Lonchura striata: one gene and its partners. The protein of the gene in region 4 binds, or shares a complex with, the protein of the main gene of each other region. Links are inferred from orthologs where the notes say so. Each region holds a gene or a part of one and is shown on either strand. Other genes may lie near its edges.

What was found.
Region 1: SMARCC2 (region 4) and PBRM1 share a complex: the UniProt entries of both Homo sapiens proteins name them as parts of the SWI/SNF-B (PBAF) chromatin remodeling complex. The link is inferred for Lonchura striata from reciprocal best matches to the Homo sapiens genes SMARCC2 and PBRM1.
Region 2: SMARCC2 (region 4) and SMARCD3 share a complex: the UniProt entries of both Homo sapiens proteins name them as parts of the BAF complex. The link is inferred for Lonchura striata from reciprocal best matches to the Homo sapiens genes SMARCC2 and SMARCD3.
Region 3: SMARCC2 (region 4) and zinc finger protein neuro-d4 share a complex: the UniProt entries of both Homo sapiens proteins name them as parts of the neuron-specific chromatin remodeling complex. The link is inferred for Lonchura striata from reciprocal best matches to the Homo sapiens genes SMARCC2 and DPF1.

What each region holds. Positions count from the first base shown.
Region 1 is NC_134614.1:9,331,054-9,339,066, reverse strand, and holds the start of PBRM1 (protein polybromo-1), read right to left. Parts: upstream 3,012-8,013; 5' UTR 2,898-3,011; intron 585-2,897; 5' UTR 501-584; coding exon 453-500; intron 1-452. Other genes in the region: GNL3 (guanine nucleotide-binding protein-like 3), read left to right, coding at 3,133-3,145, 3,342-3,400, 3,526-3,663, 4,247-4,360, 4,520-4,603, 4,866-5,001, 5,454-5,557, 5,820-5,955 and 2 more. UniProt on the Homo sapiens protein: Involved in transcriptional activation and repression of select genes by chromatin remodeling (alteration of DNA-nucleosome topology). Required for the stability of the SWI/SNF chromatin remodeling complex SWI/SNF-B (PBAF).
Region 2 is NC_134603.1:157,074,572-157,082,392, reverse strand, and holds the start of SMARCD3 (SWI/SNF-related matrix-associated actin-dependent regulator of chromatin subfamily D member 3), read right to left. Parts: upstream 3,002-7,821; 5' UTR 2,899-3,001; coding exon 2,821-2,898; intron 1-2,820. UniProt on the Homo sapiens protein: Involved in transcriptional activation and repression of select genes by chromatin remodeling (alteration of DNA-nucleosome topology).
Region 3 is NC_134633.1:4,835,294-4,842,482, forward strand, and holds the start of zinc finger protein neuro-d4, read right to left. Parts: upstream 3,014-7,189; 5' UTR 2,974-3,013; coding exon 2,942-2,973; intron 1-2,941. UniProt on the Homo sapiens protein: May have an important role in developing neurons by participating in regulation of cell survival, possibly as a neurospecific transcription factor. Belongs to the neuron-specific chromatin remodeling complex (nBAF complex).
Region 4 is NC_134629.1:5,444,162-5,452,037, forward strand, and holds the start of SMARCC2 (SWI/SNF complex subunit SMARCC2), read right to left. Parts: upstream 3,012-7,876; 5' UTR 2,964-3,011; coding exon 2,853-2,963; intron 2,692-2,852; coding exon 2,572-2,691; intron 1-2,571. UniProt on the Homo sapiens protein: Involved in transcriptional activation and repression of select genes by chromatin remodeling (alteration of DNA-nucleosome topology).

The DNA of each region.
Region 1 (8,013 bases), on a different chromosome or scaffold from region 4:
GTGTGGGATGAATGGCTCAACCATGGAGAAACAGAAAAAGCTCCCTCCTCTTCTGGCCATAGTTTTGCATTTACCAACACAAGCAGTGACAAATGAATAACCACCATCCAACAACTATGGTAATTTATGGAACAAGTTATTGGCTCTTTCCCAACTTCCAGTGACAGCATCAGAAACGTATCTTTATTTGTGGCTATCTCAAAGGCTGAGCACAGAACAGATGCATCTATCCCAGCCCATCCCCATTTTCCAACCAAATCCAGGGATTTCTTTCAGGAGGCACTCAGATGGTTGACAAGGTATGGCAGCACGAGGTAACTGCATTAAAGCATTTCTCTTAGAGACAACTTCAGGCACACACATGAGATGAGTAAGGTAGGAATAATTAACAGCTAGGAAAAAGAAAAGCAAAAGGCCAAGGCAGAGGGATGGAGATACAATCAATAATTTACCAGATTTACCAGAGTAGAACCAGCACCTCGAAAAGCCAATCTCCTCATAGTGTCTGATGGGCAAGCACAGATACTGCGAGAAGGGGACACTCTAAGAGTGGCAAACCAGTAATGGTGTTAGTACAGCCACAACTGGAAGACAAGAAAAAGCAAAGAGAGAGAGAAGAAAATTCAGACTAGGTAGATAAAGAATAAAATCAAAGAATAAAGTGGATAATTACAGTGACAGAGAAAAAAAGCAAGAAACAGAAGGCAACTTTTTATAGCCCAGCAGAAACTCTACAAAGTAATTCTGTACACAGAATGCTAGACACTTCTGTCATTGTCACAGTAAAAATACATTTCTCTCATGTTCCTGAATATGCATTACAGATTTCACCGCCACTTGCTAGAGAATGATTCATCAAGAGCAGAAAGTAAACAGAAGTGATACCTGACCTGAGAGTACAAACCAGAAAGCTGTAAAACTTACAGAATGCAAAGCAGTACAGTGCTTATAAGAACATAATCTTAAGGTCAACAAGCATTTATTAAACTCTAAGATGATGCACCTCCAAAATTCTTCAGAGTAGACTTTTATACTCAGAAGTAAGCAGTAAGTATGCAGCCATACGCTAAAAAAAAAAAAAAAGTTTCAATTTCTAAGCCTCCAAGCCTTATTTTTTTCACAGAAATTCCATGTGAAATACACAGAACCATTTAATAGCAAAATGTTTGCTTCTGCGTAGTTCTTCCAACTCCTGCCTTCAATCAAACCCCAGAGAGGTTCTTTTACAGTTCAGCACTCTGAACATTCTCGTAACATGAACATGCAGAGAAGCTCTGTGGTTTATCAGCAGGCAATTCATTTTGGGAACTGACAACAGCCTCAAGCCTTGGCACAGCCTCCAACTTCCATCTGAGGGCTACAGTCTGGAGTGGCTCCACCAGGCAGGTGCTGGGAAACACAAGCCCTTGGTTGTGGAGGAAAGGCAGGAGGGACTACCAGAATCAATAATTCTGCTTCAACCAGGAACCCAAGAGTACACTCAGACCAGTCCCATCCTGAAATAAAGATCTGGGAAGCTCCCAACCAGAACTGCCTGCAGACTGTACATCAGCTGCTCCATGTGTACTGTCCGGGGCACAATGCTGTGGATCTCAGCCATACTCTGACACTGCTGTGATCAAGGTACCCTCACCACTCACACAGCCTCCAAAACACGTTTTTCTCCTCTAATAACCCTGTAAAACATGCATCAGTCTGGACAACATCACAAACACTCAGGGAGAGACCTGCTGATGTACCACTCACTGAAGGTGAGGCTCCAAAACACAAACTTCTTCCTAAACTGCCACACTCCTAAGCACAGAGAACTCAGCTGTGCACAGAAACACAGCTTTGCTGAAGAACCTCTCTCCCTGAGTTTCTTCTGCAATTGCACTGCTGGCTCACAGGTCTCTCAACAGTCACACCAAGAATCTCCACTGCTACCACTGACCACCTCCAATTCAACAGCAGCTTGAGCATCTCCTCGGTAATTGCCCCCACCAGCCATAAAAATGTCACAAAACCACAGCAAGAAAGGCTTTGGCCATTACTAATTCACATGTATACTGATATACACAACGGGGGGAAGGAAGGAAGGCTGTCCCTCCCAAAAGCTGTAGGGAAGGACCACAACAAGTGTCACCCACTCCAACCTCCCTACACCCACAGGTTTTACACTCGTCGGACATAACACACTTAAAATAAAACGTTCTAACACACTAGAGGTTCATTTTCTGCCTCCAGGCAGAGGAAAGCGAAAAGCCAACAGATACCACGGGTAGTACTTATTGCTATCAGGATCTCCCACGTTTCACCAGAAACACGAAACACGGTAAATTTAGCAAAGGGAACAGGGGAGGGAAACGCAAAGGGAACAGGGGAGGGAAAAGCCGGAATTTCCCCCGGTTACCGATCCCATTGAAAGCTGCTACGGGATGGGAAGAGGGGGCTGGCAGCAGCCAGGCACGGTAACAGGGCAAAGCTGACGGGAAAGCGAGAGGGACAACACATCCATCGTTTTACCGGCACCGGGACAAGGAACAAAGGCAGCAAATCCGGAACTGCCCGAGGCGCCGGAGCCCTGCCCGGGAGGTGAGGCGCTATCCCCGGCAGGAAACAAAGAAAAGCCTTTCCCGGCACCGGGCGGCCAGGACGGGGTCCCGGGCCCGCCCCGCGGGGCACGACCCGCCGCGCTCAGCGCGCGGGCCCGGGCGGCGCCGGCACGGGAACACGGCGGGAGCGGGGCGGGGAGGAGGGGCTGAGGCGCACCCGGGCCCGGGCAGGTGACGGGGGCCGGCGGCGCTCGGTGCCCCGGGCCCGGCGCGCCGGGGCCGCTGCGCGCTCGGGCGGCGCCGCCACACAAAGGGAGGCAGCGGCCTCCAAGCTCCGGCCCGCGCCCCGCCCGCGCCGCTCACCCCGCCGGCTCCGCTCCGCCTCCCGCAGCCGCGGCCGACCCGGGGTGGGTGCGCGGGGTCCGCCCGGCCCGGCCCGTCCCGCCGGTACCGCCCGTCCGACACCGCCGGTGCCGCCGCCGCCGCTGCCGCAAAGCGCGCCCGGCCGCCCAACGCGCCGAGCCCGCGCGACACCCCGGCGGGGCAGCGCCGGCGCGCTTTACGGCAGCGCCCGCCGGCGGGAGCACGTGGCGGCGCCATGAAGCGGCCGAGTGAGCGCCGGGAGCGGCTCCGGGACGGGCACGGGCACGGGCACCGAGCGGGCGGGAACGGCACGGGGAGGGCGCGGGCGGCGGCCCGGCACCGGGGGGCGGCGGCCGCCCGTGGCCGAGCGAGCGGCAGCGGTGGAGGAGGCGGGAGTCGGGGCCGGGGGATGTTTGCGGCGCTGACGGGCGCGGTGCGTTGCAGAGCTGCGGAAGGCGAGCAAGAGGCTGAGCTGCCACAAGCGCTACAAGATCCAGAAGAAGGTGAGGCCCGGCCCAGCGCGGCCCCCGCGCCGCGTTCGGCGATTTTGGGGCCGCTGCGCTGAAGTTTTGGGCCTCAGAGTGAGAACGTTTCTTGTGCCTGCCCTCATTTCTTGTGCTTCCCTCAGATAAGAGAACACCACCGGAAAGTCCGCAAGGAGGCCAAGAAACGCGGCCACAAGAAGCCCAAGAAAGACCCCGGAATTCCCAGTGCTGCGCCGTTTAAGGAAGAGCTGCTGCGGGAAGCGGAGCAAAGAAAGCAGAGGGTAAAACACAGTTTTCGGTAAAGAGAACAAGAACTGAGAGCATCCCCTTCTGTAAGGAAGCTTTGTGTGCACTCAGAGGAGCAGTCATGGTAGATGGTCCCAGCAAACTCGTGCTTTGGAAAAATGATGTATTTATTTCCAGCACCGTACCGTGTGCATTGATTTGCTCTTTTATTTTTAACCTTCGTTTCCTCACTGGGATGGGAGCATGCTGGAAGTGTCTTTTCTAATGCAGTCAGAATTCCCTGTGGTGCTGGGATACAGAAATGTCCCATCAGAGTGCTGGGAGTTAAATCATGGCATTATGTGATTACACAGAAAATCGGGATCTGCTGTCTGCAGTGTGCACTAATGTGGCATTTGTCAGCTGTAGTGGTGGCTGCAGCGCTGCTGTTCTGGGATCAAGCAAATGCATGGCTGCCTCTGGGTAGGATGCAAAAAAAGAGTTCCCAGAGTTACTTGGACAGCCAGGACTTCTAACTGAGCTGGCTCAGGAGCTTGGGTCAGGAATGGGGAGAAAGAACATTCTTCCTTAGCACCTTCGAAGATGTTTTATCTGCCCTGGGTTTTTGTTTGTGATCAGCTTGAAGAACTGAAACAAAAGCAGAAGCTCAATAGACAGAAAGAACATGAAAAGAAGAGGAAGCTGGAAGCTAAAAAGAATGCAGTCACAATCAAGGAGAAAGCAGAGGGAAAGGTAGGGGTCCTGTATGATTTTGATTCCTTGAACCTGGAGAAGTCATCCTGAAACTGCACCTTCTTAAGCAGCAGTTTACATTTTCATGCTGAATATGCACACAAGTAGTAGACACTAATTCTCATTTAAATAATTTCCTTTTGTTTTTATTTGCTTTAGGACTCCCCTGGCAAATCTAAAGGAAAGACTAAAAAACCACTGAATAAAAATTCTAAGAAATCATTCTGCAGGGAGCTTATGAAGGTGAAATGCTTTAACTATTTTTTTTATCATTAGATATAGATATATAGATATTTTATATCACTAAAGAGTCAGCAATAAGATCACTTGTTATTTTGCTTTTTTTGTATTACTGTTTAGAGCACAAAGTTTGTCTGTGATAAACTAGAACACTGATGGGATTTTACAACAGAAAATGTTAACTATTTTTGTAAGCCACAGCTATAGCAGAATTGTAATCTGGTCTGTGATGTCTTGTTGGATTCCTGTCTTTTTTCTGACCCAGGTGCTTGAGGCCTCAGATGTAGTTCTGGAGGTTTTGGATGCCAGAGATCCAATGGGCTGCAGGTGTCCTCAGCTGGAGCAAGCTGTCACTTCCTCTGGAGGGAACAAAAAGCTGCTCTTGGTTCTGAACAAAATTGGTAAGAAACACAGGTTTTCTCAAAGTGTTACTGGCACTGTGTTTCTGTGGTGGGTGAGCTATGAAGATTTTAAAGGAATCTGAGATTCCATTGAAGACATGAGATCCAACTCTGAGCTCACTACAAAGGCTGGAAATTACCCAGTACCAGTAGCTAATTAAAGAAAACAAAATACCAAGAGCAACAAGAAGAGCAAAGGGAACTCTGTGGTAGAAGTCAGAATCTTTCACAGATCATTCTGTACCATGCAAAGTCTTCTAGCCAGAGCCCAGCATTAAAAGCCTAATACAGAGGCCAGAAATGTAATTGTGATATGTTCTGCTAAGGCAGAAAGAGAGACTCTGTGTGCCTTTGGGGAAGGTATCCAGTACTTCATATTAGAGTTCTCAGCCAAATGGTATTTGTCATGATAGGATTAATTTAAGGAGTGAAAGAACTGCTCTTCTTTCCAGATTTGGTGCCAAAGAACAACATAGAGAAATGGTTGAATTATTTGAAGAAGGAGTTTCCAACAGTTGCTTTTAAGTCAGCAACAATTATGAAGGACAAGACTATGGTAAGAGCACTGCAGGCTGTCCCACGAAAAGTTCATGTGTTTGCAGTCATACATGTTGGAACATCTTTAAAATTCCTTTCTCCCTGGTTTGGTTGCACTTTTTGGTTGATGGATGTGCCTTTACACTTCAATTGAGCTTTGCAATACAGTGGGAGAATTCTTAGCACGGAAATTACAGTAGATTAATAAATCTAAGTATCCATATTTTATCTTCCTTAATAGCTCCTGACCATGGGCTTTTTTTTGCCTTTGAATCTGGTAGCAGGAACAGGTCACAAAAAGACATGCACGTGTTGATTTCGCAGAAACCACTCAGTATTTTGGAAGCAAATGCCTTTTGAAGCTTCTTCAAGGGTATGGCAAGACCCAAGACAAAGCCATTCAGGTTGGGGTTGTAGGTAAGTGTTTGGAGAAACAGGAGGAGTTTCTTTCTCCTATAAAGCTTTGGGATCCTGTATTCCTGGACTGGGTAAAACTGCTGACACCTGGTTTGCTAATGAGCTTTCTAGTCACTGTTCTTTGCTCCAAGACTCTCAGTGTTGTAGTGCTTCAGCTGCCAGGGATCCATGGTGCACTGCCATGTGCAGCACGGGGATCTGTGGGAGAACAAAGAAGGCAGGATATGTGCTCCACTGGCCCTGCCTTCCCCATGCCTGACAAAAATCCCATGGAGTATAGCACCACAAATCCTACAAGTGTGAGAAATGAGGATACATTCTTTGTCTTACTTCTGTAGTGAAGACTTCAGATCCAACTCTGATCTCACACTGATGCTTACGTTAGCAAAGCTACCTGGAAGAAGCTGTTTTGATTGGTGTTAAAAAGCTGTTTTCTTATTAACTTAAAAGGATTTATGTGATTTTTCCTCAGGTTTCCCTAATGTGGGAAAGAGCAGCATAATCAACAGTCTCAAAGGAAAGCGTGCTTGTAATGTTGGCCTGACAAGAGGTGTTACCAAGTAAGCTCAGTCTGATAAAAGCTGTTCCTTTCCTTGTTTGTTGTGTTTCAGTTACCATGAGTTTGTGTTTTAGTCCATTAGGGACAAAGCACACCCAGTGTGCAGTTTTAAATGCACATTAAAATTTGCAAGATGAAAGGTATTGGTATGTGTGATGCAAGCTTTCTCCAGGGGATAGTGTATAAACTTGATGTTTTGCAAAGCATTCTATATTGTGGAATATGTATGCTTTTGCTTGAAGGTTGTTTTGTTTGTTTAAATTTTGTTTGTTTTGTTTGTTTAAATTTCTATCCTACGCAAAGCACATGATGACAAAACATTGAAACTGACTTTATGAAGTACATTCAATCCAACACTGAGCTTTGTGTCTTGCATCCCTCACCATTACCAGTCCTTCACTGATTATCTGCTCACAGTGCATTTTTCTCTGAACAGGTCCATGCAAATTGTGCACCTTGATAAGCAGACAAAGATGCTGGACAGTCCAAGTATAATTGCAGATCCTTCTAACAGTGCCCTCACTCTGGCCTTGAGAAGTATCATAGACCCTGAAGGATCAGACTCAGCAGATGTGCTTGAAGGAGTAAATGCCATCATAAATCACTGCAGTAAGCAGCAGGTGAGATCCATCTTTCTTCTACGTCTCTCACTGCATCAGACTTCTCTTTAGGTTTCCTAGGCCAAATAATGAAAGTTCATTTTGCTGTAGCTAATTCTGATAGGTTTTGAACTGCTTTCCCTAACCATACAAAGTGGCAATGCCAAGTGTGAGCCTTCATCCTTACAAACAGAAGACAGAACAGCATGCCACGATCCTGACAGCCAGAGTAAACAGCATTGCTTTTAAGACCTATCAGCACACAGAGAGTGAAAAATGATGATACTGCCTCTGTATTGCCTAGGTTACAGTGAAGACCTCAGATCCAACTCTGATTTCACTCTAGTTTCAAGCAAATTAACCTAAGCCTAATTGCCTTTCAGTTATTTGAGAAGGGTTTTCATAGACCAGTGTGCTGTCCCATTGCAGCACATGTCACATTTGAGACAGCTACAACATGTAGAGTACCAGCATACAATAACAAAAAGCTTCACCCCATGCAGAGTAACACCTCTTCAGAAGGCTGCAAGCATCTCCCCTTCTTGTTCTTCAGCCCAGCCTTTTATCCCCTCATGTTCCTGCAGTGCCCCTGTGTGCCCTCTGTTCCCTTTGGTGGTTGCTCAGAGCACCTGGGCACTCCCTGGCTCATTGCTGCCAGTGCTGCTCACCTGCTGCTCACAGCTGTGACACTGGGGATGAGGCTGGGCCCAGCCCCATTCCCAGTCCCCAAAATGTGCACCTACACTGTCTCTGTACACCCACAAGTCTGGTTGAGTGGCAGATGAGTTTGTTGATGAAGCAGGCTTTTTGCTTTCTAATGTTTACTCCCACATGAGTGAGAAAAACAGCTTTTCTCTTACTCTGTCCTCACTGTTACCCAACTTCATTTGCTCTTTTACT
Region 2 (7,821 bases), on a different chromosome or scaffold from region 4:
TTAAGGAATCCAGCCAGCAATGAGGCCTATGGTAGGGATTGGAGGATAGAGGCAACCAAGGAAAGGAATGACTTGCAGCAAGACTAGTAACTTGTTCAACAAAATACAAGGTAACAGCTGGACACCTAGAGCAATGTCATAAGGACTGCCTGAAATGTACTACTGGAGAGCAGAAAATGCACTGATAAAAAGAAAATCATCATAAATGTGGTGATTAAAGCCTATTTGTCCATACAAAAGCTAGAAAGAGAGAGGAACAACAACAAAGGACTAAGTACAGCATGAAATCTTTGGGGGGAAAAAAAATTCTTCCCACAAAAATGATGCGCAAAACACTGACAAAACTAAAAGAAGTAAAAGCATAGTAAAAATAAATATCTGAAAGATAGGTAACCATTCTAAAAGCCCAACTGCTAACCAGAGGTGTAACAAACTATCAAGGTCACAAGCAGGAGAGAATGAAGCATCCCACTTGAGAGTTTCAACCTTTGAAAGACTTCACCTTTCAGGGGGATCCCTTCTGCCTGGGACAAAGGAGGAAGAAGACATCATCTAAGCTGGCAGTATGGAAAAGCACAAAAGCAGGATCAGGTGCACAAGAGCAAAGGGCAAAGTGACCTTAGCAAAGGAATATATGTTTCCAGAAAGATCAAGTGAATCCAAGAGCTAAGCGCCCATAGGAAATACTGCAGGAAATATCCTGTTAATTTAAGTGTCAACAAAGCAAAAAAAGATTTCTCACAACATTCTACCTCTGTTCACTTCTCCCCATTTTTTGAGGGGGGAGAGAAAATAATTTTCAATAACCAAGTTAAATAATGTTATCATCGACAGAATAAAAAAATCAGTCATTTGAAGAAGAGATTGGTCCCTGAAATTAGAGCAGAGTCTGACTCCAAGAAATTCCACTAAAGTCTGCTATGCAACTTGATTTTTCAATTAATTAATTCAGCCGTTGACACACTTTGATAGTAATAAAACAGAGGAGCCAGTGCTAGGCAAAGTCAAGGTAATGGCTCGCATGGCACATTCTCTTATTTGGCAGGATACAGGGCCTGGAGAGATAAAACAAAGTTATAGCTTTTTTTTCATCTTTTTTAAGTCATGGAAGAGTGACTACCCCAACCCATGTTTTGACTGAAATGAACCTGAGATGAGGAAAAAACTAAAGGAAAGAACAAACCAGGCACCAAAGCAGAACTAAAGGAGATGATAATGAAGGAAAAGAGAGGGTGATACAAGAAGTGTTCAGGCACCAGAACAACAGCCAAGAAGCCCCAGCCTCAGGAACAGAAGCAGGAGATATATATATATAGATATTCCAGGCTAATGTATATGTTCAAGTAAGATGCCACTAGCAACAAAAGTTCCAGGGTAGAAAAGGCAGACTTTCCTGGCATCCAAATAAGTAACGGAAATGAGTTCTGCTATATTCATTCCAGTATAAATTAAAAATCTCCCAGGCTTAAGAGCCCTGCATGCTGCTTTCACACAAAGGCCAGCTAGATGTGGAATAAACAAATTCACATAACTATTTTTGCCGCTCTTCTTGATACTAAAGGAAGAGCACTGGTGTGCAAATGCCAAGGGAAACTTTGGAAAAGGCAAAATCATCCCATCTGCTATCCTTCCAACTTGTGCTTCTGGTTCTGCTCAGATACAGCCTCACAATCCAGACCACCTTGACAAACCCACATGTCCACAACTAAAGCACTGCTACCACTGCACACCCGCTCTCCGTCACCCCCGAGCAGCTGCCAATCTCGCCCAGCCTGCTCCTGTGCACTGGCACCACACCACCACTTCACAGCTCCCACCAACACAGAAGGCTACCTCAGAGTCCTTGGCCCTGCCTGTGCCACCATATCCAGGATCTAAAGAACACACACAAGATCCTACCATCTGGAGTAGGCCTATCATGGAGACAACTCAACAGTCTGCCTTGAACCCCACAGGTTTCTATGATCTCTGTACAAGAGCCTCCACCTGATGTCTTCAGAAAGGTGCCACAGGCGGTGCCAGGATCCTCAAGAAAGAAGCACTTGGGAATATCAGCATCCAAATATCACATTCCTTTGGGCTTTTTAACAGCCTTATTTCTCTTCAATGTGTACCAATGCTAGAAATCCAAATGTTATAAGTGGTGACTGCTCTCAGACACTAGAGTCATTTAAAGAACGTTTCCAGTCGCAGTAAAACAGGGTGAGCATTTCCCCTTAAATGGAGATCAAAGACCTGATTATTTAACAAAAGCTGGAACATTTGTAAAGACCTGAAGGATTGCTTTAATTAAGCATGGCACCCTGACATTCTCTCGTGGGTGAGTTTCCATAGACTGTTACAGACCTGCAGAGCTAATCTCTTCAAGCCCCTGAAAGTCACCTGTTAAGTAGCCAGAGGATACAAATGAGCCAAGACTGGAGACAAGAACCAAAGGCAGCACCCCAAGGCTTCATCAGGCTCTCATCAGAATTGTTTTTCAAAATGCAAGTTTGATTACAGAACAAAGTGTCCTACAAGCCAATACGGGTTAGATCCAGTGCAGATTCTGCACCATGATCAGGCTGAAAAGCATGCTATTCACCATTCATGGAGAATCACAGCAAAAAGCACAGCACACATCCCCCCAGACACAAGCTGTATTAACAATGAATCAGTGCATAGGCTGGGGGTTCCACAGACCCCAGCATTCTCCTGGTGAGGCAGCTACCAGCGCCCCAGGAGCACACTGCAGGAGCCGATCCAGCCCAGCACAGAACCTCCAGTTTCCACTCATCCCTCTATTCAGAGCCAGCCAGCTCACTAACTTTCCCGACTCACCACCCCATGGACCAGAAACTCAAAAAGTTTGCTTTTCGTAGCTTTGCGAGCCCCTCCTGTAACTTCATCTGTAGCCATCAGGGTCTGCTCAGCCTCTCTCACTCTCTCTCTTCCTCTTTCTTTCCCTTTTCTGCCTTTTTCTCCAACTCTCCCCTCTGAGTCCTGCTGGGCTCTCACACTTCTAATAGCACGGAGTGGGGAGGGGGCCCCTTCAGGGCCTTCCTGACGGCCCACTCGCGCTCAGCCTCAGCTGCTGCATTCCTCCACTGATAAGCCAGAAATAGTTTGTGCTGCCGGGCTCTGTCTGTTTACTCTGCAGGGACAGAAAATCCAGCTTTTTAAACCTCTCTGTCCAAACAGCAGAGATAAGCAGGAGGCAAATTGAAAAATACGTCTCGGTTTTCCCTGGTAGTGCTGCAGCCTCTCCTCCTCTGCATCAGGGATGGGAAATTCTGGGGCAAGGGGAAGGGGGAGGGGGCAACTTCAGCAGTGACACAGAGCTCAGCACTTCGCAGAGATGTTTTCCCATTAGAAAATGCAGCAGCGAACAGTGGTTTTCCCTTGCTCCCACTGCTCCTCCCGCACTGCATTTCCAGGCCCTTTCCCCAGGGACCTGGCAGGCAGCACACAGAAACATTCGCTGGCAGCATTTCCAGCATGAGAGACGAGAGCTAACCCCTCTGGACAAGAGAGAAGCAGCGGGAGGCCGGAGCTGGGAACAGGGAGGGACATGTGGAAGCGAAGGGAAAGTGTGTGAGATCAGTGGAGGAAGGGGTGGGGGGCAGCATGGCGGCAAAGCTCCCACGGCTTGTTTCCAGCCCCCACTCGCACCACCTCTCCCCACTGACCACTCCCGGGATGGTCTGGCACCACTGCGACGGATCCTCTAGAGACCCCAGGTGACTGACAGGCGCAGACAAATTATTAACACCACAGCTGCTCTAAAACATCAGCAGTTCACTGCTTGTCAAACAAAGCCCTGCACGACAGTGTGTGAGATGCCACGACACTGCTGGGAACATGAAGCCCAAGGGGGAAGAGAGAAGAGAGCAGCAGCCCAGCCCCTCGGTGGCCCTGGGGCGAGGTGGCGCTGGCAGCACGGCGGCCATTCCACAAGCCGAGTCTGGCTGCTCCATGATGGCCGAGCCTGCAGCGATGGCCCGGGGCACCCATCTGCTCCCGGCAGCTCACAAGGGCCGATGTTCCCTGCTCTCCCTTAACACAGCAATAGGCCAGATGTTGCCAGGTTACAAGAGGGGCTTATTCTATTCCTCTGCTTTAAATTCTTGTCTAGGGGCTGTGAATTTTCTGTCAAGACTGCAAACGACAGAATCAGATCAGAAAAATAAAAATTATTCTGCCCTCATACAATAATAAAAACAAGCACAGAAAAGACACTGCATTGACTAGCAGCGAAGGGCAAGCCATGAAGGTCACATGGCCTTCTGAACATGGGGACGAGGACAGTGACCTCCACTGATTTTTAGGGCCACCCCAATCTAAGTGCTAGTGTATAGCAACCGCCCTAGGAATCACAGAAATTTAGCGAGGGTGAGCATGCTTATCAGCTCCTCTAAGCCCCTCAGAAGGAATACACCAAGCAAATCAACATAGCCTTGCCTTGTTTTGTGCTGGAAAAATTCCTTAAATTCTCGCTGAACTAAAGAAAGGCAGATATAATCTGGAACCAACTGCTGCATGTCTGGTGGACGTGTTCATGTCAGGCTAACTTGATCTGGAGGGCTTTTTCCAACCTAAAGGACTCTAAATTCTGCATGCCAAGGTGACTGGCAAGGCAAGCATGAAGCTGGTATCTGCCATGCTTTTTAGACCCCAGGCTCACACAGGAATGCTGGCTCCCATCATGTGAGCCCCCTCCCGCGCCCGGCAGACACCGTGCATTTTCCTGCACTAGCTGTCGGTGCCGCACCGGCCGGCGGTCCCAGCAGTCCCGGCCGCGGGGGGCACCGGCTCCGGCCCGTGCGGCTGTTCCCCCTCGCGGGGAGCCGTGCGAGCCCGCGCCGCGCGAAACGGCACCGAGGACGGGCCGTGCCGACTCCTGCAGCAGCCGTCCTTACGGGCCCGGCGCGGGAAGGGGCGGCGGCGGCTCCGCGCTGCGGCGCGGCGCGGCGCGCGGTCCCCCCTCGCGTCCCCCCGCGCTCCGCCGCCAGCACCATCGGCACCGAATGGCAACGGCGCGCCCGGCACGGGCAGGGCGTGCGCCTGCCACGGTCCCGGCCCCGCCGCGGGCGGGCGAGGACCGGCCCGGGCCAATCTGCCCGCCCGGGGCCGGGCCGGGCCGGGCCGGGCCGAGCCGCGCGAGCAGAACCGCGGCCCCGGGCGCGGCCCCGGGCGCGGCGCGCGCATGCGCAGCGCGGCCCCGTGAAGGTCAGCGCGGGCCGCGCCCGGGGCCGCGCGGCGGGAGCGCTTTAACCCCTCCCGCGCCGCGGCGGAGGAGCGGCACCGAGCGGCAGCCGGCTGTTCTCGCCGGCCCGGCCCTTTGTCCTCCGGCCGGAGCATGCGCTCGGCTCCGCATCTCAGGGTTTTCTTGTTTCCCCCCTTCGCTACAGATTCGGCGTGCAGCCGCAGCTGCCCCGATTTCCGCCAATAGCCACTGAGTACCTTCTGGAGCAGGAGGACATTTGCTATGAAGTGCTACTAATTTAAGCTGAAAACCATACCATGTATATTGTAATCTGTCTGGATATCCTTAACAGACATCCAAAAGCAGTTTTCCTTGAACATCAAATTCCACGGGCAGTCCACTTCAGCCGTCAACTGAGTAAATGTAAAAAAAAAAAAAAATTAAAAATCCTGTAGTAATAAAAATTCAGCTCTTACTTAGCATGACGGTAGTTCTCCAAGCACTTTAGAAAATAAATCAGTAGATGCAGCTCTTACGTTTGCAAATGGAAAATACGGTACAAGTGGATGGAAGTGACTTGCCCAACATTACCTAGCTGAGAATGAAACCCATTTCCTGTGATTCTTCAACCCTTCACAATAGTGTCCAGGAAAACTACTGTGTGAGCCATTTGCACAAAAGGATGAAGGTTACCATGCAATAATTAATTTCCCATATTAAGAGAAACAGCATATAATTTTATTTTAAATTGTTTGGTTTTCTATTTTCCCAACTTTTTTTTTTCCATAAAAGTGTAGAAAATAGTTGTCAATGTTCTTTTAAAAAGTGACCGATTTAACCCAAGTCATCTCCAACTGCTGCAAGTATCCTGACGGCTTCCAGCCGTCTCTGACCTAGAAGTTCTCTGAGCCATGGGGCTCTGTGCAAGGCTTGTGCTCCTCCACTCATTCCTGAAGGCTGAGCATGCACTGGGGCCTCATTCATACTCACTTTCAGCTTCATGTCCCATTCCCAGACCATTTCATTTCAGAGAAAGGCTGATCTCCTTCTCTGGTACTTCCTGGGGCACTGGGAGCCCACTTGGTCTCTGTGTGTGTGGTTTGGTTTAACTTCTGCTATTCAGGGCTTTTCAGGGTATTAAACTAAAATGGTCTGATTAGAAAAGAGATGAACGCAGCTGTTGTTTTAGGGAGGTATGTTTGCTGCTACTTGCCATTTTTTGATCAGTAGGTAATTATAGAAGTACATGAAGGTGCTGATTGCCTTAAGCAGCTGTGGTTTCCCTCATCCAAGTTTTACTTAAGTCAGCATTGCTCTTTTCACTGAAAATTAAAATATTCACAATAGTTTTAGAATTGATGCAATGTGGCAGAGAAGACATGCTAGAACCAGAAAATATCCCAAGATGGTGGCTCTGCTTAATCTAAAGCAATGTCCATTTGTTCCTGAGTTCAGAATTATTCAATAGTCTCATTAACAATATGGATAATGTACTTAGAGAACATACTTATTCCATTTCCTAGCAACATACAGTTTGGAGAGGTTACAAGTTTGCTACAAGAGATTATCAAAATTAAAATCCTGACGACTTGGAGATATATCCTGTTTTTTTCAAACCAGGATATTTCAGTCAGAAACAGTGCAGGGCTCCACATAAAGATATAGATCAACAACTGTCTAAATAAAAGACGGGGAACAACTGGCTGAAGAGATGTTTATTTTTCAGAAAAAAACATCTGGGGATACGACAGATCATAAGCTGAATGTACTAACTGAGCTAACAGTACTACTACCCTGTCACAAAATAACCAGATAAACCCCCAGAAGATCGGGAACTGCAGGAATGCTGCCCCACTGCTCTCATCCCCTTGGTGGCAGCACAGGCACTGACAACAGTACTCAGATTCTTCATTTCTCCTCATTCCGTCCCTCCTCCTCCTCCTCCCCATTCCCTGAGCTCTCCAGGCCACAAGCTGTTCCATCTCAGCATTTCCTTAAGGTTGAAAAATTAAATTTTGCCAGAATTGCTGAGGAACTCTTCCAAAGCAATTCGGTCGTGGTATGAATTGTCAGTGTCTGGTCCAGACCAACCTTTGCCGTCAAGGGCTCTGTGCATCAGAGGAAGAGTGGGAGAAACCAGGAAACCAGGATGGTTAAGGAAAGGACACAAAGTGTGACAAGAGCCGCAAGGTCCAAACAAGATAAAGAGAAAACAACAGTCATCAGATGTCCAAAAGGCTGCTGCAAATACAGGGAAGAGCTGCTCCCCATACACAGAGTACAGGAAATAATGGCTTAAATTTCTCCCAGGAAGATTTATGTTAGATATTAAGGAGAAGCACAGCAGTGACAGTAGAGAAGTTCTGAGATAGTCTGTCCAGCAAGGATGGGACTCCTCATCACCAAAGTCTTTCAAGAACATGTCAGACAAGCATCTATCCAGAGTGATGGAGGTGGTGTGGGTTCTGTCTTGGGGCAGGACAGAGAACCAGCTGATTTCCAGAGGCTCCTTTTGCCTTATTTCCCTACAGAAACTTAGATTTTGTAACACAAAAGTTCCTTTCTCTGTTAGACCTTTCCAGTACTTCTTTCTCAAATCTGTCGGGAAGGGAAGGGAAGGGAAGGGAAGGGAAGGG
Region 3 (7,189 bases), on a different chromosome or scaffold from region 4:
AGGGACCCAACTGGGACAGGGACCAGCATTGGCACCGGCACCGGGACCGGATCAGAACCGGCACCGGGACCGGATCAGAACCGGCACCGGGACCGGATCAGAACCGGCGCCGGGACCGGATCAGAACCGGCGCCGGGACCGGATCAGAACCGGCACCGGGACCGGATCAGAACCGGCACCGGGATGGAATCAGACCTGGGACTGGAACCAGGATCAGAACCTGCACCAGGAAGGGGTTAGGATCGGGACTAGGATTGGGATCAGAACCGGGACTGGGCCGGGATCAGAACCGGGACTGGGACCAGGACTGGGATAGGGCTTGGGATCAGAACCGGGATCAGAACCGGGATCAGAACCGGGATCTGAACCAGGACTGGGATAGGGCTTGGGATCAGAACCGGGGCTGGGCCGGGATCAGAACCGGGATCTGAACCAGGACTGGGACAGGGATTGGGATCAGAACCGGGACCAGAACCGTGATCAGAACCGGGACTGGGACTGGGATAGGGATTGGGATCAGAACCGGGATCAGAACCGGGATCTGAACCGGGACTGGGACCAGGACAGGGATTGGGATCAGAACCGGGACTGGGCCGGGATTAAAACCGGGATCTGAACCGGGACTGGGACAGGGATCCGAACTGGGACTGGGATAGGGATTGGGATCAGAACCGGGACCAGAACCGGGATCAGAACCGGGACTGGGACTGGGACAGGGATTGGGACCAGAACCGGGACCAGAACCGGGATCAGAACCGGGACTGGGACTGGGATAGGGATTGGGATCAGAACCGGGACTGGGACTGGGACAGGGATTGGGACCAGAACCGGGACCAGAACCGGGATCAGAACTGGGACTGGGACTGGGATAGGGATTGGGATCAGAACCGGGACCAGAACCGGGATCAGAACCGGGACTGGGACTGGGATAGGGATTGGGATCAGAACCGGGATCAGAACCGGAACTGGGATGGGATTGGGACTGTGGCCGGGACTGGGACCAGGACCGGGACCGGGATTAGGACCAGAATTGGGACTGGGACCCCGCCGGTACCGGATCCCCATCCCGGTACCGGATCCCCATCTTGGCAGTACCAGATCCCCATCCCGGTACCAGATACCCATCCCAGCCGGTACCGGGTCCCCATCCCAGTACTGGATCCCCATCCCAGCCGGTACCAGATCCCCATCCCAGCCGGTACCGGGTCCCCATCCCAGTACCGGATCCCCATCCCAGCCGGTACCGGGTCCTCCTCCCCACCGGTACCGGGTCCCCATCCCAGCCGGTACCGGGTCCCCATCCCAGCCGGTACCGGGTCCCCATCCCAGCCGGTACCGGGTCCTCCTCCCCACCGGTACCGGGTCCTCCTCCCCACCGGTACCGGGTCCTCCTCCCAGCCGGTACCGGGGGTTTCCATCCCCACCGAGTCCCTCCCGCCGCTACCGGGAGCTCCATCCTGGAGCCTCCATCCCCCGCCGGTACCGGCACCTCCATCCCCGCCCGAACCGGGTCCAACCCCGCCGGTACCGGCACCTCCATCCCCCGCCCGAACCGGGTCCAACCCCGCCGGTACCGGCACCTCCATCCCCGCCCGAACCGGGTCCAACCCCGCCGGTACCGGGCCCAAACCCCAAACCTCCATCCCCTCCCGGTGCCGGTACCGGGGATTTCCATCCCCTCCCAGCACCGGTACCAAACCCCCATCCCCTCCCGGTACCGAACCCCCATCCCCTGCCGGTGCCGGTACCGAACCCCCATCCCCTGCCGGTGCCGGTACCGAACCCCCATCTCCTTCCGGTACTGGTACCGAACCCCCATCCCCTGCCGGTACCGAACCCCCATCCCCTGCCGGTGCCGAACCCCCATCCCCTCCCGGTGCCGGTACCGAACCCCCATCTCCTTCCGGTACTGGTACCGAACCCCCATCCCCTGCCGGTGCCGAACCCCCATCCCCTCCCGGTGCCGGTAGCGGAGCCTCCATCCCCTCCCATCACCGTTACCGGAGCCCCATCCCCTCCCGGTCCCGTTACCGGAGCCCCATCTCCTCCCGGTACCGAACCCCCATCTCCTCCCGGTACCGAACCCCCATCTCCTCCCGTTGCCAGTACCGGAGCCTCCATCCCCTGCCGGTGCCGGTACCGGAGCCCCCATCTCCTCCCGGTGCCGGTACTGGTGGTCACCCATTCCCTCCAATCACCGTTACCGGAGCCCCCATCCCCTCCGGGTGCCGGTACCGGGAGTCTCCATCCCCTGCCAGTGCCGGTACCGGGAGTCTCCATCCCCTGCCGGTGCCGGTACGGGATCCTTCATCCCCTGCCGGTGCCGGTACGGGATCCTCCATCTCCTCCCGGTGCCGATACCGGAGCCCCCATCCTCTCCCGTTGCCAGTACCGGAGCCTCCATCCCCTCCCGGTACCGAGCCTCCATCCCCTCCCGGTACCGAGCCCCCATCCCCTCCCGGTACCGAACCCCCATCCCCTGCCGGTGCCGGTACCGAGCCCCCATCCCCTCCCAGCCCCGGTACCAGGGCTCCCATCCCCTGCCGGTACCGGTACGGGATCCTCCATCCCCTGCCGGTGCCGGTACCGAGCCCCCATCCCCTGCCGGTACCGAGCCCCCATCCCCTGCCGGTACCGAGCCCCCATCCCCTCCCGTTGCCAGTACCGGAGCCTCCATCCCCTCCCGTTGCCAGTACCGGAGCCTCCATCCCCTGCCGGTGCCGGTACCGGAGCCCCCATCCCCTCCCGGTACCGAGCCCCCATCCCCTCCCAGCCCCGGTACCGGGGGTCCCACCCCGCCCCCGCCGCCGCCGTGCCGGTGCGGGCTGGGGGTGGGGGGGGCCCAGCCCGGTGCCGGGGCGGTGCCGGGGCGGCGCCGGGCGGCGGTGCCGGTGCCGGGGCGGTGCCGGTGCCGGTGCCGGTGCCCCGGAGCCGCGCTCACCATTTGAGGGGCTTGTGCAGAGCCGTGGCCATTTTGCGCCGCCGGGGCCGCTCCGCGCTCGGGGAGGGGGCGGCGGGGCTCGGCCCCCCCTCCCCTCCCCCGCTGCCCCCCCGGGGCCGCCGCCGAGCCCGCGGGACCCCCGCCCGCCCCGCCCCTCCCCCCCCGCCCCGCGCTGCCGGTGCCCGCCGGTACCGGGCGGGGGGGAGGGGAGGGGGGCAATGGCGGCGGGGCGGCGGGACTACAACTCCCGGCGTGCCCCGCGCGCCGCTGGTTGGCTGGGGGAGCTGTCAATCACCGCAAAGGGGCGGGGCTAAGGGCGGGGCTCCCTCCTGTCAGTGCTAAGGGGGGGAGGGGGGGCAGGGAGCCCCAAAATCGCCCAAAATTCCATCAAAATCCTCCAAATCCTCCCCAAAATCCATCCAAATCCCCCCAAAATCCATCCAAATCCCCCCAAAATCCATCCAAATCCCCCAAATCCTCCCCAAAATCCATCCAAATCCCCCCAAAATCCATCAAAATCCCTCAAATCCTCCCCAAAATCCACCCCAAATTCCCCAAATTCTCACCAAAATCCCCCCAAAATCCCCAAAATCCTCCCCAAAAATCCATCAAAATCCCCCAAGTCCTCCCCAGAAATCCCAAAATCCCTCAAAATCGCACCAAAATCCACCCCAAATCCTCCCAAAGCCCGCGGAATCCACCCCAAATCCTCCCCAAAAATCCCAAAATCCCCCAAATCCTCCCCAAAATCCCCCAAAATCCCCTGGAAATATCCCCAAAATCCACTCAAAATCCCCCAAATCCGCCAAAATCCCCCAAATTCTCCAAATTTCCCCCAAAAATCTCCCCAAATCCTCTCAGAGACTCCCGAAAAACCCCAAATCCCCCCAAAATCCCCCCAAATTTCCCCAAAAAATCCCCAAAAATCCCCCCAAATCCCCCAAAATCTCCCAAATTACCCCAAAATCCCCCCAAACCCCCCCAAAATCCCCCCAAAATCTCCCCAAAATCCCCCCAAAATCCCCTCAAAATCCCCCCAAATCACCCCAAAAATGCCCCAAAAAGCTGAAAACGTAAATTTTTTATTTCACATTTTTCACACTTCGGTTCTGGGGGAAATCCCCAAAATTCCCGGGAGTTTTGGGGAGTTTTTGGGATTTTTTTGGGGGGGGGGTTCCCCAATTTTTCCCCCCTCCCCAAAATTCCCTCCCCCCCTCCCCAAATTTAGTGCAAATAAATAAAAAGTGGAAAATGAGGAAAAAATGGGAAAAAATGGGAAAAAAGACCCCCCCAATTTGGGGGGATGGAGAAAAAATTGGGGGAGGGGCGACCACCACACCCCCCAAAAAAAATTTGGGGGAATCCCCAAAAAAAAAAAAAAGCAAAAAAGGGGGAAAAAGGAAAAAAAAGGCCAAAAAAGGGGAAAAATAAAGGGGAAAAAAAGGAAAAAAAAGAAAAAATAATGGAAAAAAAAGGGGGGGGAAGGGAAAGAAATGGTAAAAAAAGGCAAAAAAAGGGGGATAAAAAGGGGGAAAAAAGGGAAAAAAAGGGAAAAAACTGAAAAAAAAGGAAAAAACACCACAAAAAATGGGCGGAAAAAAAGGGGGGAAAAGGGGGAAAAAAGGCAAAAAAAAGGGGGAAAAAAGGAAAAAAACCCTGCAAAAAATCGGGAAAAAAAAAGGGGGGAAAAAGGGGGAAGAAAAAGGAAAAAAAGGGAAAAAAGACAAAAAAGGGAAAAAAAAGGTAAAAAAAAGGGGGGGAAGAAAAAGGCGAGAAAAGTAAAAAAAGGAAAAAAATAAAGGAAAGAAAAGCAAAAAAAAGGCAAAAAAAGGCAAAAAACCGGAAAAAAATTAAGGGAAAAAAAGGGACAAAAAAAGGCAAAAAAAGGTTAAAAAATGGAAAAAAAAAAAAAGGGAATAAAGGAAAAAAAATTAAGGAAAAAAAAGGGACAAAAAAAAGGCAAAAAAAAGGCAAAAAAAGGTTAAAAAAAGGGAAAAAAAAGGGGGGAAAAAGGGGGGAAAAAAGGCAAAAAATGGGAAAAAAAGGGCAAAAAAAAAGGTAAGAAAAAGGAAAAAAAGGGGGTAAAAAGGCAAAAAAAGGAAAAAATTAAGGAAAAAAATTAAGAAAAAAAAGGAAAAAAAAGGGGAAAGAAAAGGGGGAAAAAGGTAAAAAATGCCAAAAAAAAGGCAAAAAAAGGGGGAAAAAAAGTAAAAAAATGAAAAAAAAGGCAAAAAAAGGGGAAAAAAGGTAAAAAAAAGGCAAAAAAAGGCAAAAAAAAAGTTATAAAACTGGGGGAGGTCCCCAAATTTTGGGCACCCCCCCAAAAACCGCATGAAAAATCGGGGACCCCCCAAAAGAATTTGGGGACCCCCCCCAGAGCCCGAGGGGGTTTTGGGGGATTTTTGTTTTTGCCCAAAAGCCGCGGATTTGGACCCAAAATTTGGGGTTTGGGGACCCCCCCCCCAAAATTGCGGCGGGTCTGGCAGAGGCACCTGGTCCTGGAAGGGAAGGAAAGGGTTAAATCTGGGGGAAATTGGGAAATTTGGGGGGTAAATTTTGGGGGGAATTTGGGGGATTTTGGGAAATTTTGGGGTTAAGTTTTGGGGGAAATTTGGAGGATTTTGGGGTTAAATTTTGGGGGAAATTCGGGGGATTTGGGGAAAATTTGGAGGTAAATTTTGGGGGAAATTCAGGGTATTTTTGGGAAATTTTGGGGTTAAATTTCGGGGAAATTTGGGGGATTTTGGGAAATTTTGGGGTTGAATTTGGGGGAAATTTGGGGGATTTTGGGAAATTTTGGGGTTGAATTTGGGGGAAATTTGGAGGATTTTGGGGTTAAATTTTGGTGGAAATTCGGGGGATTTGGGGAAAATCTGGGGGTTAATTTTGGGGGAAATTTTGGGGATTTTGGGAAATTTGGGGGGTAAATTTTAGGGGAAATTCGGGTGATTTTGGGAAATTTTGGGGTTGAATTTGGGGGAAATTTGGAGGATTTTGGGGTTAAATTTTGGTGGAAATTCAGGGGATTTGGGGAAAATTTGGGGGTAAATTTTGGGGGAAATTCAGGGGATTTTTGGGAAATTTTGGGGTTAAATTTTGGGGGAATGCGGGATATTTTGGGGAATTTTGGGGAAATTCAGGGGATTTTGGGAAAATTTGGGGGTAAATTTTGGGGGAAATTTGGGGGGTAAATTTTAGGGGAAATTCGGGGGATTTTGGGAAATTTTGGGGTTAAATTTGGGGGAAATTCGAGGGATTTTGGGGTTAAATTTTGGGGGAGATTTGGGGAATTTGGGGGATTTTAGGGTTAAAGTTTGGGGGAGATTTGGGGGATTTTGGGGTTAAATTTTGGGTATTTTGGAGGATTTTGGGGTTAAATTTGGGGGAATTTTGGGGTTAAATTTTGGGGATTTTGGGATATTTTGAGGTTAACTTTTGGGGGAATTTGGGGGATTTAAGGAGTTAAATTTGGGGAGATTTGGGGGATTTCGGGGGAAATTTGGGGGATTTTGGGGGACTTAAGGGGTTAAATTTGGGGGATTTTGGGAAATTTTGGGGTTAAATTTTGGGGGAATTTGGGGTTAGTTTTTGGGGGAAATTTGGGGGATTTGGGATTAATTTTGGGGTTAAATTTTGGGGAAATTTGGGGAAATTGGGATTAATTTTGGGGTTAAATTTTGGGGGATTTGGGGTTAATTTAGGGGTTAAATTTTGGGGGAATTTCTGGGATTTTGGGGTTAAATTTTGGGGATTTAGGGGTTAGTTTGGGGGGGAAATTTGGGGGATTTGGGGTTAATTTTGGGGTTAAATTTTGGGGATTTTGGGGTTAAATTTGGGGATATCTGAGGAATTTTAGGGGTTAAATTTGGAGGATTTTGGGGAATTTGGGGGTAAAATTTTGGGGGAATTAGGGGGATTTTGGGATATTTTAGGATTCAATTTTGGGGGAAATTTTGGGGATGTGGGGTTAATTTTGGGGTTAAGTTTTGGGGGATTTTGGTGGTAAATTTGGGGATTTTGGGGGATTTTTGGGGTGTTTTGGACTTAAATTTGGGGTATATTGTGGGACTTAAGGGGTTAAATTTGGGGGATTTTGGGGTTAAATTTTGGGGGAATTTGGGGGATTTAAGGAGTTAAATTTGGGGAATTTTAGGGTTAAATTTTGGGGATATTTTCGGGGTATCTCACCTGGATTTTTGGGATATTTTTGGGGTGTCTCACCTGGATTTTTTGGGATATTTTTGGGGT
Region 4 (7,876 bases):
ATGGTGTCCCAGGGTCCCCGGCACTGTCCCCAGCACTCCAGGCCATGTCCCTGACCAGGGCACTGTCACTGGCCGCTGTCCATGGTCAGCTGCTGTCCCCGAGCCACCAAATGCTGAACGGTGTCACCAGGGCCGTGTCCCTGAGGCTTTGGGTGCTGTCCCTGCTCAGGGTCGTGTCCCCAGGTATTGGGGTGCTGTCCCTGCTCAGAGCTGTGTCCCCAGGTCTTTGGGGACACGGCCCCAGGGCTGTCCCCGTCTCTGGGGCACTGTCCCTGCTCAGGACCCTGTCCCTGGTCATCATTGTCCTTGTCCCCTTTTCACTGGGGCTCTGCCCCAAGGTTTGGGGTGCTGCTTCTGCATTTTTGGGATGCTGTGCCCATTTAGGCCTTGTCACCCTGTCCCTGGGTGCTGTCCCCAAGTCCTGGGGTTCTGTTCCTGAGCACTCAGATGCTGTCCCTGGGTATTGGGGTGCTGTCCCCACTCAGAGCCTTGTCCCCTGTTCTTTGGAGCTTTTTTGGGGGGCTCTGGGGCCCCATTCCCACTCAGCTTTGTCCCCAGGTTTTTGGGTTGCTGCATGTGGGGCACTGGGGCCTCATCCCAGGGTCATTGGGGTCTGTCCCCAGGCCTTGAGGGCACTGTCCCTGCTCATCAGGGTCAAAAAATCCCTGGGTCCCCAAATCCCTGGGGTCCCCAAATCCCTGGGTCCCCAAATCCCCAAGGCTCTGTCCCTGGGATTTTGGGGTGCTGTCCCCAGGTCTTTGGGCTCTGTCCCTGGGCACTGGGGTGCTGTCCCCAGGTCTTTGGGCTCTGTCCCTGCGATTTTGGGGTGCTGTCCCCGAGGCTTTGGGCTCTGTCCCTGCTCAGGGTCTTGTCCCTGCTCAGCAGGGCCCTGTCCCCAGGCACCAGGGCTCTGTCCCTGGGCATTGAGGGGACATCCTGAGTACTGGGATGCCTTCCCTGGATATTGGGGTGCTTTCCCCAACCTGGGCTCTGTCCCCTCTTCTTTGGTTCTCCCCCCTGGGTTCCTCCAGGACCCCATCCCAGGGTCATCCCTGCACTTTTGGGGCTCTGTCCCTGCTCAGAGCCTTGTCCCCGCTCACCAGGGCCATGTCCCCAGCTCTGAGGGATGCTGTCTCCACATCTTTAAGGCACTCTCTCCAACCTGGGCTCTGTCCCCACCTCATTGAGGCGTTCTCCCCATCCTGGGCTTTGTGCCCTCTTCTTCGGGGCTCTTCCCCAGCTCACCGGGGTGCCATCCCCAGGTCTCTGGGCTCTGTCCCTGCTCACCAGGGCCATGTCCCCCGCTCTGAGGGATGCTGTCCCCACATCTTTAAGGCACTCTCCCCAACCTGGGCTCTGTCCCCACATCTCTGAGGCGTTCTCCCCAACCTGGGCTTTGTCCCCCATTCTTTGGGACTCTTCCTCATCTCACCGGGGTGCCGTCCCCAGGTCTTTGGGCTCTGTCCCTGCTCAGAGCCTTGTCCCCGCTCACCAGAGCCATGTCCCTAGCTCTGAGGGATGCTGTCCCCACATTTCTGAGGCGTTCTCCCCAACCTGGGCTCTGTCCCCACCTCATTGAGGCGTTCTGCCCAACCTGGGCTTTGTGCCCTCTTCTTTGGGGCTCTTCCCCAGCTCACTGGGGTGCCATCCCCAGGTCTCTGGGCTCTGTCCCCGCTCACCAGAGCCATGTCCCCCGCTCTGAAGGATGCTGTCCCCACATCTTTAAGGCGTTCTCCCCAACCTGGGCTTTGTCCCCCGTTCCTCGGGGCTCTTCCCCATCTCACTGGGGAGCCGTCCCCAGGTCTCTGGGCTCTGTCCCCGCTCACCAGAGCCATGTCCCCCGCTCTGAGGGATGCTGTCCCCACATCTCTGAGGTGTTCTCCCCAACCTGGGCTTTGTCCCCTCTTCTTTGGTTCTCCCCCCAGGTCCCTCCAGGACCCCATCCCAGGGTCATCCCTGCACTTTTGGGGCTCTGTCCCTGCTCAGAGCCTTGTCCCCGCTCACCAGGGCCATGTCCCCCGCTCTGAGGGATGCTGTCCCCACATCTTGAAGGCACTCTCCCCAACCTGGGCTTTGTGCCCTCTTCTTCGGGACTCTTCCTCATCTCACCGGGGTGCCGTCCCCAGGTCTCTGGGCTCTGTCCCTGCTCTGAGCCTTGTCCCTGCTCACCAGAGCCATGTCCCCAGCTCTGAGGGATGCTGACCCCACATTTCTGAGGCGTTCTCCCCATCCTGGGCTCTGTCCCCTGTTCCTCGGGGCTCTTCCCCATCTCACCGGGGTGCCGTCCCCAGGTCTCTGGGCTCTGTCCCTGCTCACCAGAGCCATGTCCCCAGCTCTGAGGGATGCTGTCCCCACATCTTTAAGGCACTCTCCCCAGCCTGGGCTCTGTCCCCACCTCATTGAGGCGTTCTGCCCAGCCTGGGCTTTGTCCCCCGTTCTCCGGGGCTCTTCACCCGGGCACCACGAGCGTCCATGCCCGCACCTCCGGGGCCCCGTCCCTGCTCAGGGCCTCGTCCCCCGCTCCCCGCGTGTCCCGGCCGCGGTGTCCCCGCGTCCCCCCGCGGCTCTCACCGGCAGCTTGGTGAGGGGCGCGTTGCTGACGTGCTTCCCGAACACCTCCTCCTGGAACTGCAGCAGCTGCACCACCAGGCTCGACAGCGACTTGTTGGTGGGGGGCTCGGCCTGGATGTACTGCGGGGCCGGGGCTCAGCGGGGCCGGGGCTCAGCGCGGCCGCCGCGGCCGCTGAGGGGAGCGGGGCGGGGTGGGGGGGGCGCGATGGCGGCGGCGGCGGCGCCGTGACAGGCCGGGCCCGGCGGGCCGGAGGGCGGCCCCGCGGTTCCCGCGGACCTACCTTCTTGTAGTTCTTGCCCAGCCACAGCCGCACGTTGTCGAACTGGCTGACGGTGTCCGAGGCCTCGTAGTACTTGACGTTGGGGCCGCCGTCCTTCTTCCGCACCGCCATCTTGAGCGGGCCGGGCCGCGCCGCCGCCTGCGCCCGCCGCTGCCGCCCCCTGCCGGCGCCGCGCCGCCACTGCCGCGCCCGCCGCTCGCTGTCCCCGTTCCCGGTCCCTGTCCCCGTTCCCGGTCCCTGTCCCCGATCCCGGTCCCTGTCCCCGATCCCGCTGTCCCCGATCCCGCTGTCCCCGTTCCCGGTCGCTGTCCCCGATCCCGGTCGCTGTTACATCCCCGCCGCCCGCCTTGGTGCCCTCCCGTTCCCGCACTGCCGCTCCCGCCGCCCCCGCTGCCGCCCCCTGGCGGTGCCGCTCCGGCACTGCCGCCTCCGCCTCTCCCGCCCGGTCTTGCCGGTGCCGGTCGCTGGTCCCGCTCCCGCCCGGTGGTTCCGGTCCCGGTCGCTGGTCCCGCTCCCGCACCGCCACCCCCGATCGTTGTTCCCGACCTCGATCGTTATTCCCGGCCCCGCCGCCCCCGTTCTACCGCCCGCCACCGGTCCCGCTGCGCCCGCCACCGCCTCCTGCTGGTCCCGTTCCCGCCGTTCCCGCTGTTCCTCAGGCGCCGTTCCCGGTCCCGGGCGCCGTTCCCGGCCCCGAGCCCCCGCTCCACCGCCCGCTGCTGGTCCCGCTGCCCTCGGGCGCCGTTCCCGGTCCCGGGCGCCGTTCCCGGCCCCGAGCCCCCGCTCCACCGCCCGTTGTTGGTCCCGCTGCCCCCGGGCGCCGTTCCCGGTCCCGGGCGCCGTTCCCGGTCCCGGGCGCTGCTCCGGCCCCGAGCCCCCGCTCCACCGCCCGTTGTTGGTCCCGCTGCCCTCGGGCGCCGTTCCCGGTCCCGGGCGCTGTTCCCGGTGCCGGGCGCTGTTTCCGATCCCGGGCGCCGTTCCCGGCCCCGCCGCCCGCGGGTGCGACAAGAGAGGCACGACAAGGAGAAATGGGTTTAAACGAGAGGAGATCGGGCTCGGACGGGATTCGGGGAGGAAATTCCGCCCTGGGAAGGGCTGGGATGGATTTCCCGGGACAGCCCCGGGAGCGTTCCAGGCCGGGTTGGACGGGGTTTGGAGCAGCCTGGGATGGGGGAGGGCGTCCGGAGGGAGCCCCCGGACGGCACCGAGCACCGGGCTCCGAGCATCAGGCACCGAGCACCAGGCACCGGGCTCCGAGCACCGGGCACTGAGCACCAAGCCGGGTACCGAGCACCGGGCACCGAGCACCAGGCACCGGGCACTAAGCACCAAGCCAGGCACCGGGCATTGAGCACCAGGCACCGAGCACCAAGCCGGCCACTGAGCACCGGGCGCTAAGTACCAAGCGGAGCACCGAGCACTGGGCAGCGAGCACCGGGCACCAACAACCGGGCACTGAGCACCGGGCACTAGGCACCAAGCCGGGCACCGGGCACCGGGTACCGGGCACTAGGCACCGGGCACCGGGCACTAAGCACCAAGCCAGGCACCGGGCACCGAGCACTGAGCACCGGGCATTGAGCACCAAGCTGGGCACCGAGACCAAGCCGGGCACCGAGCACCGAGCACCGAGCACCGGGCATTGAGCACCAAGCCGGGCACCGAGACCAAGCCGGGCACCGAGCACCGGGCACCGAGCACCGGGCACCGGGCACCGGGCACCGGGCGGGGGCGGGCCGGGAGCGGCGGCGGGCCCGGGTCTATGCGGAGCGCGGCGGACGGAGGCGCCAGAGTCACGGTGGCCGAGTGGTTAAGGCGTTGGACTCGAAATCCAATGGGGTTTCCCCGCACAGGTTCGAATCCTGTCCGTGACGCCGCGCTCGCTTTTGCTGCCGGCGAACACACGTGGCAGCTGCCCCGGTACCGGCTCTTTTAACGGCGGGAGCGGCACGGAGCCTTCCGCCCTCCCTAGTGGCTCCCCTAACGGCGGGAACAGCGGGGAAGACACAGCCTCAGCCTCCGGTACCGGCTCCTTTAACGGCGGCAACAGCACCGATCCCCCAATCCCCGGTACCGGCTCCTTTAACGGCAGGAACAGCACCGATCCCCCAATCCCCGGTACCGGTTCCTTTAACGGCAGGAACACACAGATCCCCCAATCCCCGGTACCGGTTCCTTTAACGGCAGGAACACACAGATCCCCCAATCCCCGGTACCGGTTCCTTTAACGGCAGGAACACACAGATCCCCCAATCCCCGGTACCGGTTCCTTTAACGGCAGGAACACACAGATCCCCCAATCCCCGGTACCGGTTCCTTTAACGGCAGGAACACACAGATCCCCCAATCCCCGGTACCGGTTCCTTTAACGGCAGGAACACACAGATCCCCCAATCCCCGGTACCGGTTCCTTTAACGGCAGGAACACACAGATCCCCCAATCCCCGGTACCGGCTCCTGTAACGGCGGCAACAGCACCGATCCCCCCACAGGTCCTGGCTCCTCTAACGGGGGTAACCATAGGGATCCTCGCTCGGTTACCGGTCCTTAACGGCGGCAGCAGCGGTAACAACACGTGCTCTCCCTCCGGTACCGGCTCCGTTAACGGCGGGAGGATCAGAGAGTCCCCACGCCTCGGTACCGGGTCTTTAAGGGGTGGGAACATTGGGGAACCCCCTCTAATCCTTTAGGATTAGTTCCTTTTTGGGTCCTTTAGGGGTGGGAGCAGCAGGGACCCCCCAGACCCAGTCCCGGCTCTTTTTGGGGTGGGAACAATGGGGACCCCCCTAATCTCAGCTCTTTTTGGGGTGGGAACAATGGGGACCCCCCTAATCTCAGTTCTTTTTGGGGTGGGAACAATGGGGACCCCCCCTAATCCCGGCTCTTTTTGGGGTGGGAGTAGTGGGGACCCCCCAGACCCAGTCCCAACTTTTTGGGGTGGGAACAATGGGGACCCCCCCTAATCTCGTCTCTTTTTGGGGTGGGAACAGTGGGGAACCCCCCCAAGACCCAGTCCCAGCTCTTTTTGGGGTGGGAACAATGGGAACCCCCCTAATCCCAGCTCCTTTAGGGTCAGGAGCAGCAGGAACCCCCCAGTCTCAGTCCCATCTCTTTTTGGGGTGGGAGCAGCAAGAACCCCCCAAAACCCAATCCCAGCTCTTTTAGGGTTGGAAACAGTGAGAACCCCTCTAATCCCGGCTCTTTTTGGGGTGACAGCAGCAGGAACACCCCTCTATTCTCTGATCTTTTAAGGGCAGAAGTGGGGACCCCACTCCGGTCCCGGCTCTTTTAGGGGTGGGAACAATGGGGACCCCCCCTAATCTCAGCTCTTTTTGGGGTGGGAACAATGGGGACCCCCCAGACCCAGTCCCAGCTCTTTTTGGGGTGGGAACAATGCGGACCCCCCCTAATCTCGTCTCTTTTTGGGGTGGGAGCAGTGGGGACCCCCCAGACCCGATCCCAGCTCTTTTTGGGGTGACAGCAGCAGGGACCCCCCTCTATTCTCTCATCTTTTTAAGGGCAGCAGAAGTGGGGACCCCACTCTGGTCCCAGCTCTTTTAGGGGTGGGGACAAGTTCATCCTTTTTGGGGGGCACATCTGGGGGGCTTCGGAGCCCCCAGACCCTCCGTCACCCCCATTCCCTCCCTGGAGTGACATTTATCGATCCCCAGATGCCCCAGGATGGGGAGGACAGCCCCAAACTCACCCATTTTTACCCCAAAACCGAGCCCCCCGACACGGGGAGGGTTTTGGGGTGCAGGAGGAGGCCCCCAAAGCGGGGATAAAGCAACCAGAATTCTGTTTATTGATCACTTCAATCCCTGCCTCCCGCCGGATCTGCCGGGACCGACACCGGAGGAGAAAAATGGTAAAAAATAACCCAAAAGAAACGCAAATAAATTAAATTCCCAACGAGTCCCACGGACCCAGGCCAGAGGCGCCTGCCTACGGTACTTGGAAAAAAAATCGAATAAAAAGGGGGAGTAAAAATGAGAAAAGGTCCAAAAAAAAAAAAAAACAAAAAAAATTGAAGTACAAAAGAAAATAAAATACAGATCCACGATCACGAGTGTCTGGGAAGCAACAGCAAGGGTGGAGGAAGCAGAGTGGGAGGAGGTGGGGGATGCCCGGGGGGAATTCCAGAATTCCAGAGGGGGCGAGGAGAGGGAGCTCGGCAGATTTGGGGGGACCCCCGAGGGGTCTGGCAGTGCTGGAGCCCCCGCCGCCCCCTCCTCGCTGGGTTTGTAACGGCTCCAATCAAGCGAAGAACCCGAAAATTCCAAGTCCAGAAATTCAATTTTTCCTGCCGTCCCAGGATGGAGAAAACGTTGATTTTTTTTTTTTTTCCAAATCTCCACGCCACGAGCAAAAAAAAAAATCACAAACCCTAAAAACACCGAGTCCGGGAAACCCCACAGCCATCCCGAGGTGGATTTTGTTTTTTGTTCTTCAGATTTCTTCCACGCTGCGAGCGAAAATCAAAAACCCTAAAAATGCCGAGTCTGGGAAACCCACCCCCACAAGCCATCCCAAAGTGGATTTTTAGAAATTTTTTTTTCTTTCTTCAGATTTCCTCCAGGCCGTGAGCGAAAATCCCAAACCCTAAAAGCGCCGAGTCGGGGAAAACCACCCCGCCGTCCCAAGGCGGATATTTTCAATTTAAATTTTTTTTTTTTGCTTTTTTCAGATCTCCTCCACGCTGTGAGCGAAAATCCCAAACCCTAAAAACGCCAAGTCCAGGAAAACCCCCCTGCCATCCCAAGGTGGATTTGTTTTGTTTTTTTTTTTTGTTCTTCAGATCTCCACGCCGTGAGCGAAAATCATGAAAATCCCAAACCCTAAAAACGCCGAGTCGGGTTGTCCCGAGGCGGATATTTTCAATTGAAATATCTTTTTTTTCACCTTTTTTCAGATTTCCTCCAGGCCGTGAGTGAAAATCACAAACCCTAAAAACGCCGAGTCAGGTCATCCCGAGGCAGATATTTTCAATTGAAATATCTTTTTTTTCGCTTTTTTTCACATCT